2 linked regions of the Alligator mississippiensis genome follow. The protein of the gene in region 1 interacts with the protein of each later gene in a biochemical or structural test. Links are inferred from orthologs where the notes say so. Each region holds a gene or a part of one and is shown on either strand. Other genes may lie near its edges.

Evidence for each region.
Region 2: the proteins of RAPGEF2 (region 1) and RAP1A form a complex in vitro, tested with the Homo sapiens proteins (2 studies listed by BioGRID and IntAct, with this or other methods). The link is inferred for Alligator mississippiensis from reciprocal best matches to the Homo sapiens genes RAPGEF2 and RAP1A.

The regions. Positions count from the first base shown.
Region 1 is NC_081825.1:91,064,674-91,068,578, reverse strand, and holds the start of RAPGEF2 (rap guanine nucleotide exchange factor 2), read left to right. Parts: upstream 1-1,057; 5' UTR 1,058-1,370; coding exon 1,371-1,439; intron 1,440-3,905. UniProt on the Homo sapiens protein: Functions as a guanine nucleotide exchange factor (GEF), which activates Rap and Ras family of small GTPases by exchanging bound GDP for free GTP in a cAMP-dependent manner.
Region 2 is NC_081837.1:43,910,482-43,914,386, reverse strand, and holds the start of RAP1A (ras-related protein Rap-1A), read right to left. Parts: upstream 2,176-3,905; 5' UTR 2,082-2,175; intron 38-2,081; 5' UTR 1-37. UniProt on the Homo sapiens protein: Counteracts the mitogenic function of Ras, at least partly because it can interact with Ras GAPs and RAF in a competitive manner. Together with ITGB1BP1, regulates KRIT1 localization to microtubules and membranes.

The sequences.
Region 1 (3,905 bases):
GTTTTTATTTTGTAAATAGCAATCATACTGATTTGGAAGGACTTCTTTGAGGTGACTTTGCTGGACTTTTGGAAGGGCTCTTGGCTGGAGTCTTCTCAGGAGTCTGCATGGGTGACTGGTGCCTCCCAAGTCTTGAGGGGCACCAGATCACTGATGGCGGGGACCCCAGTGGTGACTGATTGCCAATCGGGGGGAGGGGTCCCCCAGTGGTGGCCATTCGCCAACCGAGGGGCTGGTCCCCCAGCAGTGGCCAATCGCCCAGCCAGCAGTGAAACCAGAAGTGCACTTCTGGTTTTGCAGCTGGTGCTTCCAGGGGGTGCATGACTGATTTGGGGGGAGCACATGTACCTGTATGCATCCCCTACGGGTTGCTAAAGGCTGCAGGTTTTGCTGGAGTTTTGTCTGCTTTTTTAAAGGAAGTGCCCAAAGATGTTTGGACAGATGTTCTCCAGGGAGATGGGCGACGCAGTGAACTTGTTCGCTGGGGTGGCATCGTGTCGCAAAGTTGAAACCAATGTCAGGAAGTCAAAACAGGGTGTCAATTTATGTTGTCCGTGCCATTCGTTGTAATGCGAAACCTTGTAAGTCGAGGCCTGCCTGCACTCGTGTTTGTTATTTGCACCTTGGCTTGTATTGCTGCTGGCTCTGTGTGGGACAAACCTTCCGCAGGTCAAATATGTGGGCCAGAAACCGGGACTAAGACCGGGCCTTTCTGAGGAAACTGGCTCCTGGACCAGGCTAACAAGGGACAACCCCTTCAAGCCCCAGCCTGCTCCCTACTCTCCCCCAGCGCCGACACCAGTGCCTCACGGCTCCAGCGCCACTTGGCGACCCAGGAGGACCTGGCAGGGGTCACCCCGGCGGGGGGCTGCCGAGGCCAGAGCGGCCCGGGTCACCGTTGGTGGAAGGGGGCACAAAGCGCCCGGGGACTGCGCAGCCACCTGCTCCCGCTCGCGGCGCCCGGAGCGCGGCGGGGGCAGCAGAGAGCCCGGCGGGGGCGGGGCCCGAGGCGGCCCGTCCCCGCTCCGCCCCGCCCCTCCCCCGCCGCCGCCGCCGCTGCCTCACCATGGTTGCAGCACAAAGCGACCAGCCCCGGAGGCCGCTTCCCCCGTGAGCGCCTGAGCCGCGGCCCGTCCTTGCCCCGGCCCCGGGCGGCAGCGCCGGGCTGCGGGATGCAGCAGCAGCAGCATCAGGGGAGCGGCCCGGGGAGCCGCCGCTGCCGCCCGCCTTCGCCCTCTGCCGGGCGGCGGCGCTGCTGAGCCCGCGGGGCCGCCGCTCCCCCCGCCCCGCGCTCGCCAGCTCGCCCGCCCGCCAGCGCCGGGCAGCCGCCTCCCTCAGGCCAGCGCAGCACGAGCCGCCGCCGCCGCGCCATGGCCTCCTACGTGGATAACAGCTTCCGCCAGGCGGTGATGAAGAACCCGGCCGAGAGGAGCGCCCAGGTACCTGCCCCGGCCTGCGCCTCCCCCGCGCGGGCGGGCACCGCTTTGTCGGCCGCCGTCTCGGGAAGGGACGTCCGGGGGGCCGGGGGTCACCCTGCCCGGGGCAGGGGCAGCTCTGTCCCGGCCGTGCCCTGCACCTCCCTGCGAGACTGTCCTCAGCCCCGGCCGCCTCTGCCCTCCGCTCTGGCACGGCATGGACCCGGCACCCTGCCCTCCGCTCTGGCATGGCACCCTCCCCGGCCAGCAGGGACCCGGCACCCTCCCCTCCCCTCAGCCCTGGCACGGCACGGACCCGACACCCACCCACCCACCCACCGCAGCCCACTGCCCACTGTCCTGCTTTTGTGAAACATTGTCACTTTACGCTCAAGAGCTCCCCTGAAATGGTGTCTTGTCCTGGGTCAAGGAGTGAGTGAGTGCCTGCATGTGGTTTGTCTAAAGGGACACCCTAGCATGGCAGGGCGGGCAGTCCAGTTTTGCTCTGGCACCCCGGGTAGCATTTCCATGCCACCATTGCTCAGTGCAAATAGTGAGGGTTTTGTTTTTTTTTTTTAATATCATAAGAAATCAAATCATAGACATTATGGGCTGGAAGGGACCTTGAAGGATCATGGAGTCTAGTCCCCCTTCTTTGACTAGGGGGTGTTATTTGTATATATATCCTTGCCAGGCAGAATTTGTGGATATTTAGTTGGCACCAAAACATTGCTTTGTGCCTCTCTTTCTCACCCTGGTCTCACAGGCCGGCGCCAGGGTGTCTAAGACTGCCCTGGAGCTGAGTTCAGGTTCCTTTCCTTCCTCTCCAGGCATCCCATTCAGAAATGGAATTTAACTTGGTGCCTCTACTTGTCTCTCTAAAACAGTTCCTATCCTGTGACTTTCTAGTGAAGTTAAGGGGTTTTTTGCTTCTTTTTTTTTTGGGGGGGGGCCAATCGCTGCCACCTGCGAAGTAGGGTGAAGTTCTTGCACACTTAAAAACACAAAGATCCTTTTTTTTTTTTTGTATTTTTAAATATGTGCATCAGGCTCATCTGGGGGAGTTTTGGTTGCGGGATAAGTAAAAGGTTCGTACAATTGTAGAAAATGAGGGTTGGAAGGGACTTCAGGAGATCGCACACAGTCCAACCCCTGCAGGACCACCTCAAAGCACAACTAGCAATGTGGTGGGGTGTGTGTGCGTGCGTGTGCAGGATTAAGAGCTGTTAGAGCGTTAGAAACAATGAACCTGGGAGGCTGGAGGGCGACAAAATGTCAAAATGTTTCTGTATTTCTATTTTGGTTTTTTTTGGGGGGGGGGGGGGAGGCTTGTTAAGTGATAAGAGCGTCTTATGCTCTGCAGAAGGGACTGGCTGGAGGGGCTGTTGCTGCCAACTGTTTAAAGACAAATACCCTTTATACGGATCCCCAGGTCAAGCTGCAGCTCAATAGCTAATGATTCAAGGAGTTGCTCTGCTCGTTACAGTTGTAGTAGTGCCATCTGTCCTAATTCTAAAGAGTCATCCCGTTTCTCTGACAACTCGGCATGGCCTGGTTTTAGCAAGAAGCTTTATTTTTCATTACCGTGGTTACTCCTGATTTTGGCAAGGTTCTGGTTGGCTGTTGACATTTCAAAATGGGGGCGAAGAAAACTTCAAAGTAAGTTGGATCTAGAAATCCTTCCTCCTACTTCAGTGAAGTTATTTTTGTAACGCTGTGTTTTATCCTCATCTCAGGGAATACATATGGCAAAGTGAAATTGCCTGTGGAAAAGTACAGAGACATATCCTTACATTTTGAAGTGGTACCCTAATTTTTTGTGGGGGGAGGGGGAGTAGGGAGCAGAGGGAAGTGAACTAATTTTCCCTCCACTCATTCTAGATCGTATTTTATTTCAGCTGTGTTAAAGTTGCTCCTGTGTCCTTGCCTGACCTTCCTTTTTGAATGTCAATTACTTGTTTCAGATGTTGGAGCCTCTGTGAAAGCCTTTGCTTCAGAGTCAGTTACTTATGCTTAAAATTAAAGAGAGACGGTGGCATTATCGGAGAAAGCTACTATTTGTAAACGCATAGTAAGAGCTCCCACACTTAGGGAAGCTTAAATTCCCGTAATGGGAGTCTGACGCTGTCAGATCTTGGAGAAGATTATCAAAAGGCTGTCAGTTGGTCAGCAGCGGGGAGACTGGCAGTTGCTCAGAAACCAGTCAATCAGGTCATGCGCCGTCAGACAAAGCTACGAGAGACAGGACTTCTACTGTGACAGCTGTAGATTCTGCCAGATGAAGCAAACTGTTAAACTTTCCTGCGTCCCTGCCAAATCTTAAAAAAAAAAAAAAAAAAAAAAAAAAAAAAAAAAAAGTTAGAAATGATGCAGCAAAGAAATTAGCTTGAATGCAGGGATCTAACTGGCATGCAGAACGCAGGGCAGGAGGCTAAATCAGGAACGCTAGGACTGCATTAGCACTGCAAAGCTGATTGTATCAGCAGACTG
Region 2 (3,905 bases), on another chromosome or scaffold:
CACTCTTGTCCTGATGCGTCACTCTTTGATGAAAATACTGTGTATGAAAATAGATTATTTTTAGAACCAGCATGTGAAAGCACAGTACTTCCTGTACTAACTCCACCTCAAGTTACATACCCTTTTTTTTTCTTTTTTAGTTTCTACAGCTAGTTTCTACAGCTAGCTTACAACTCTTATCAAACACAGTAGAGAGGATGAAGGAACAAACTGGGAGGAACTTGAAATGACAATTCCCTAACCTAAAACTCAGTACAAAAAAAGTTTTGTTAAAATACATTGTCCCTCTGAAAGCAGAAACGCCATCATTTTAATGACACCACTAGCCGTCATGGCTATGAATGGACTCTTAAATATTTTTTTTTATTTATAACACTGATCTTTTCCACAAAAACAGGATGCGAACATAGCATTCCCAGTATAACAAAGTCACTATAGCAACGTGACAGTGATGTCAGAATAATCAGAAAGGATTTCATAGTTCAGAGACAGTAAACCACACGATAGCTAGACAATTTAAAAAGTTGCAGACGCTGCGACAGCTCGTTTCTAAGTATTCTCGCTCAAACTCACTATTCAAAAGTCTGCGCCGTTTAATAGCGGTGCTGTCGTACACAAGTTCACCCTTCTCGGTGACTTTGGCCCTTGTTGTCTAGCAATCTCAGGAGATCCTAAACCAAAGATAACGGTCACCCATCTGAGGAGCTTGCCACCGCTGACTTGAGAAGCACTATTTCATTAATAAAGGAGAGCATTTTTAAACTAGCAGCCTTACAGATCATGGACAGAGCAACTCACAACCATGACCTTCCTCAACGAGCATAATGAGCTCAATTATACAAAACTGCTAAGGACCCAGAACATTTGGTGTCACATTTTGGGACTCTGAACAACTAGGCACAAAGCCAAAACTGTAAACTATGGTTTTGGTTCAAACAACGAGAAAATAAATAAATCAATGAATCAATCAATCAAAGCACAAGCAAGAAGTCAAGCTATTCTAGTGGCCTGGAGCCGGGCCTGCTTTTTAGCATGTAAACTGCTGTATTTCTCACGTTAATGGAGATTACGGATGCAACAAAAAAAAAAACAAAACAACTATTTATACTATTTAGCGCTGTACTATTTGGTCTTATTTTATACCATTTCCAGTTCGTTCCAGCACGTGACTTAGACAAGGGAGACAGACAAGTCCTCTTCACTTTTGCTGCTAGTCCCTTTCAATTTGGGATTGCGCTAGCACAACACTGCCATGCCTCGTTTACAAACATCCCGAAGAAACAAACACCGAAACACCACCGAGCTCGAAACCTGCATCAAACATCCTCCCTAAACGCTGTGGTTCAACTTCCTAAACACAAAACACCCGCTAAGTTTATCACCAAACGTATCAACGGGAATCAGGTTTGCCGCAAGGAGGGCATCAATTCTGGAAACTTATATCCATCCATGGCATTACGGCAACGCGGACAACAAATGGAAAGACCGCGACCACGACCACGACGGCACGCTCAACCCTCTACCGGGAAAAGGTTTCCACGTCCCAGACGTGGGTCCAACACAAGGTTTAACACCAAAGCGGTCTGTCTACACTGCCGACGCCGCGGCGCGAGGGTCCTGTAGTTTTACGGCCAAACACGCCTACGCTGCAGGTCCGGCAGAAGTTTTTTTTGCCCCACTGCAGACGCCGTGCGAGGGTCCTGTAAAAGTTTTAGCACCAGAAACGAGCAGCCGTGCGAGGGTCCGGCGGAGGTTTTAGCACCAAGACGGGGTCCTTCAAGCCTGCGAGAAACCACCCGCACCGCAGCGGCCTTTCGAGCACGGCCCGCGCGTGCCCCCGCCACGCTCAGGTCGGGGACAGCTCGTGCCCCGAGGAAATGCCACAGCCCCTGCGCGCAGGGGAAGGGCTGGCTACCCACCCCAATAAAAACAAATAAAAGAGGGGTGGGAAACGGGTGGCACAGCGGCAAGGCCGGGCCCCTGCCCTCAACCCCCCCTGGACGCGCGGTATCGCAGGGGGGCCCACCGGCCCGGGGGTGCCCGGGGGGCAGGGGGAGCCGCCAACGGGCCCGGCCGCTCACCTCCGCGCGCCCGCTCCGCTCCGCTCCGCTCCTGCGCGCCGCGCCCGCCCGCCCGGCCGGGGAGGAGCCGGGGGCGGGCCGGGCCTGCGCCCTCCTGCCGCCGCCGCCGCCCCGCACCCACACACCGCCTTGCAGGGGCAGGGGCCGCGCCGCGCCGCGCGCTTTCCCCCTCACACCGCACCGCGCCGCGCCGGCGGCCACACGGGGAGCCACAGGCCCAGGCGCCGCCCCGTGAGGAGACGCGAGGCGAGGCAGGCCGGTGCCCCCACAGGACGCGGCGGTCCGCGCTGTGAGGAGAAGGGCGCCCAGGCGCGGGCCCGCCCGCCCTGGCGCGAGGCAGCCCACACACGGACAGGTGGAGGCGGATGATGGCGCCCTGCAACACACCTGTTTTCTCCTGTTAAAAAAAGAAACTCAAAGCCGTAGTGCTGTGCTAGTCGGAGGTGACACGTGCGCCTCCGGCTTCCCCGGAGCGGCGCGTGGCACCACACAGCGATGCCCCGGGCCTGGTGACACCGTCGCGGGGGCCACGCTCGCCCTACTAACGTGGTAGGGTCGTGGCGGACCCCTCCTTGCCACGAGCGGCGCTGCTCGGTCAAGCGGGGTCGTCCTGTCTCTTCGCAGGCCTGACCTGGCTTCCCCCACGGGACGCCCACGATTCCCCACCGCGCGGCACAGGTTTTTAATAACCCAGCGTGACGCTTGCCGCCATCGTAGGGATCGTTCTGCTCCAACGTGCTCTCCGTCTTTCGTCGTTCGTGTCGATTGGGACTGGGAGAGGATGCGTCTTTGCCTTCGTTGCTGGATGCACCGAAACCCTCTGTTTATAAACCCCAATGCTATAAACACGACACACGATAATAAAGAGGTGAATTTGCACCGACGTTTCCGGATAGGTAGGTCCGCGAAGGGCTGCGGAGCTGTGTGGTGACAGCCAGGGCAGCAAAGGAGATATTTTCCGTCCCTCGCCGTGTTAGAAGATGCGCTGACAGCTGGCGTGCAGGGAGCGACCCACCGTCCGCGTGGGATCTGGGGAAGTGGAAGTGTTAAGGCTCCCTGCTGAAACACCACGCCGCGTGGCATGCTGCCACGGGGCATAAAGTGAGGGGCCTGCTGCGACCACGCAACACCCGAGTGATCCTTTCAGCCCTCGAACGCTCACAACGGGAGCCGTGGAAGTAACCTGCACCCCTTAGCCTTGGCTGCACTCCAGGTGCAAAACATACCTGTGCTTTTCTGCATTGTCTGAATGTCAGCTGTGTTTGCAAGCAAGGCTCTGTTAGGAAACGAAGGCAGGCATTTAAAAAGAAAAAAAGGCTGCAGCTGATGAAGAATATGACTGAAGTTGTACACGGTCTTAAAATTGTTTGATCGTGCAAACAGACACTGCAAGGACTTGAAAGGGGAGGATAATAAGGCTTTGAAGGAAGAGATGATAAATGGCTTTCTTTGTTAGCACGAGGCAATTCAGAGCTCGGGGAAAGACTTCTCAGTTCTCGAGGGTTTGCCGTCTCCTCTCGCCCTAAAGGTTGTCCCTCGAGCTCAGGTTTGGCTCCCTGAAAAGGATGAAGGCAAAAACCATGTTTAAGTGTTTCATGAGAACCCCTTTTCCTATGTTCTGTGCCTTTAGTGCACCCACTTAAAAGCTGTCTCTGTGTTATGTCCCCAAGCTAAGGCAGCACCTACTCCAGGCTGATGAGCACCTAGGCACTCAAGGCTGGCCACATCCTTTCGAGCTACAACACGCTCCTCTTCTCTGTCATTTGGTCTTTCCCCCTGACCGAAAGGGCACGGGCATTACTTCTGAATACACTCGCTCTAAGT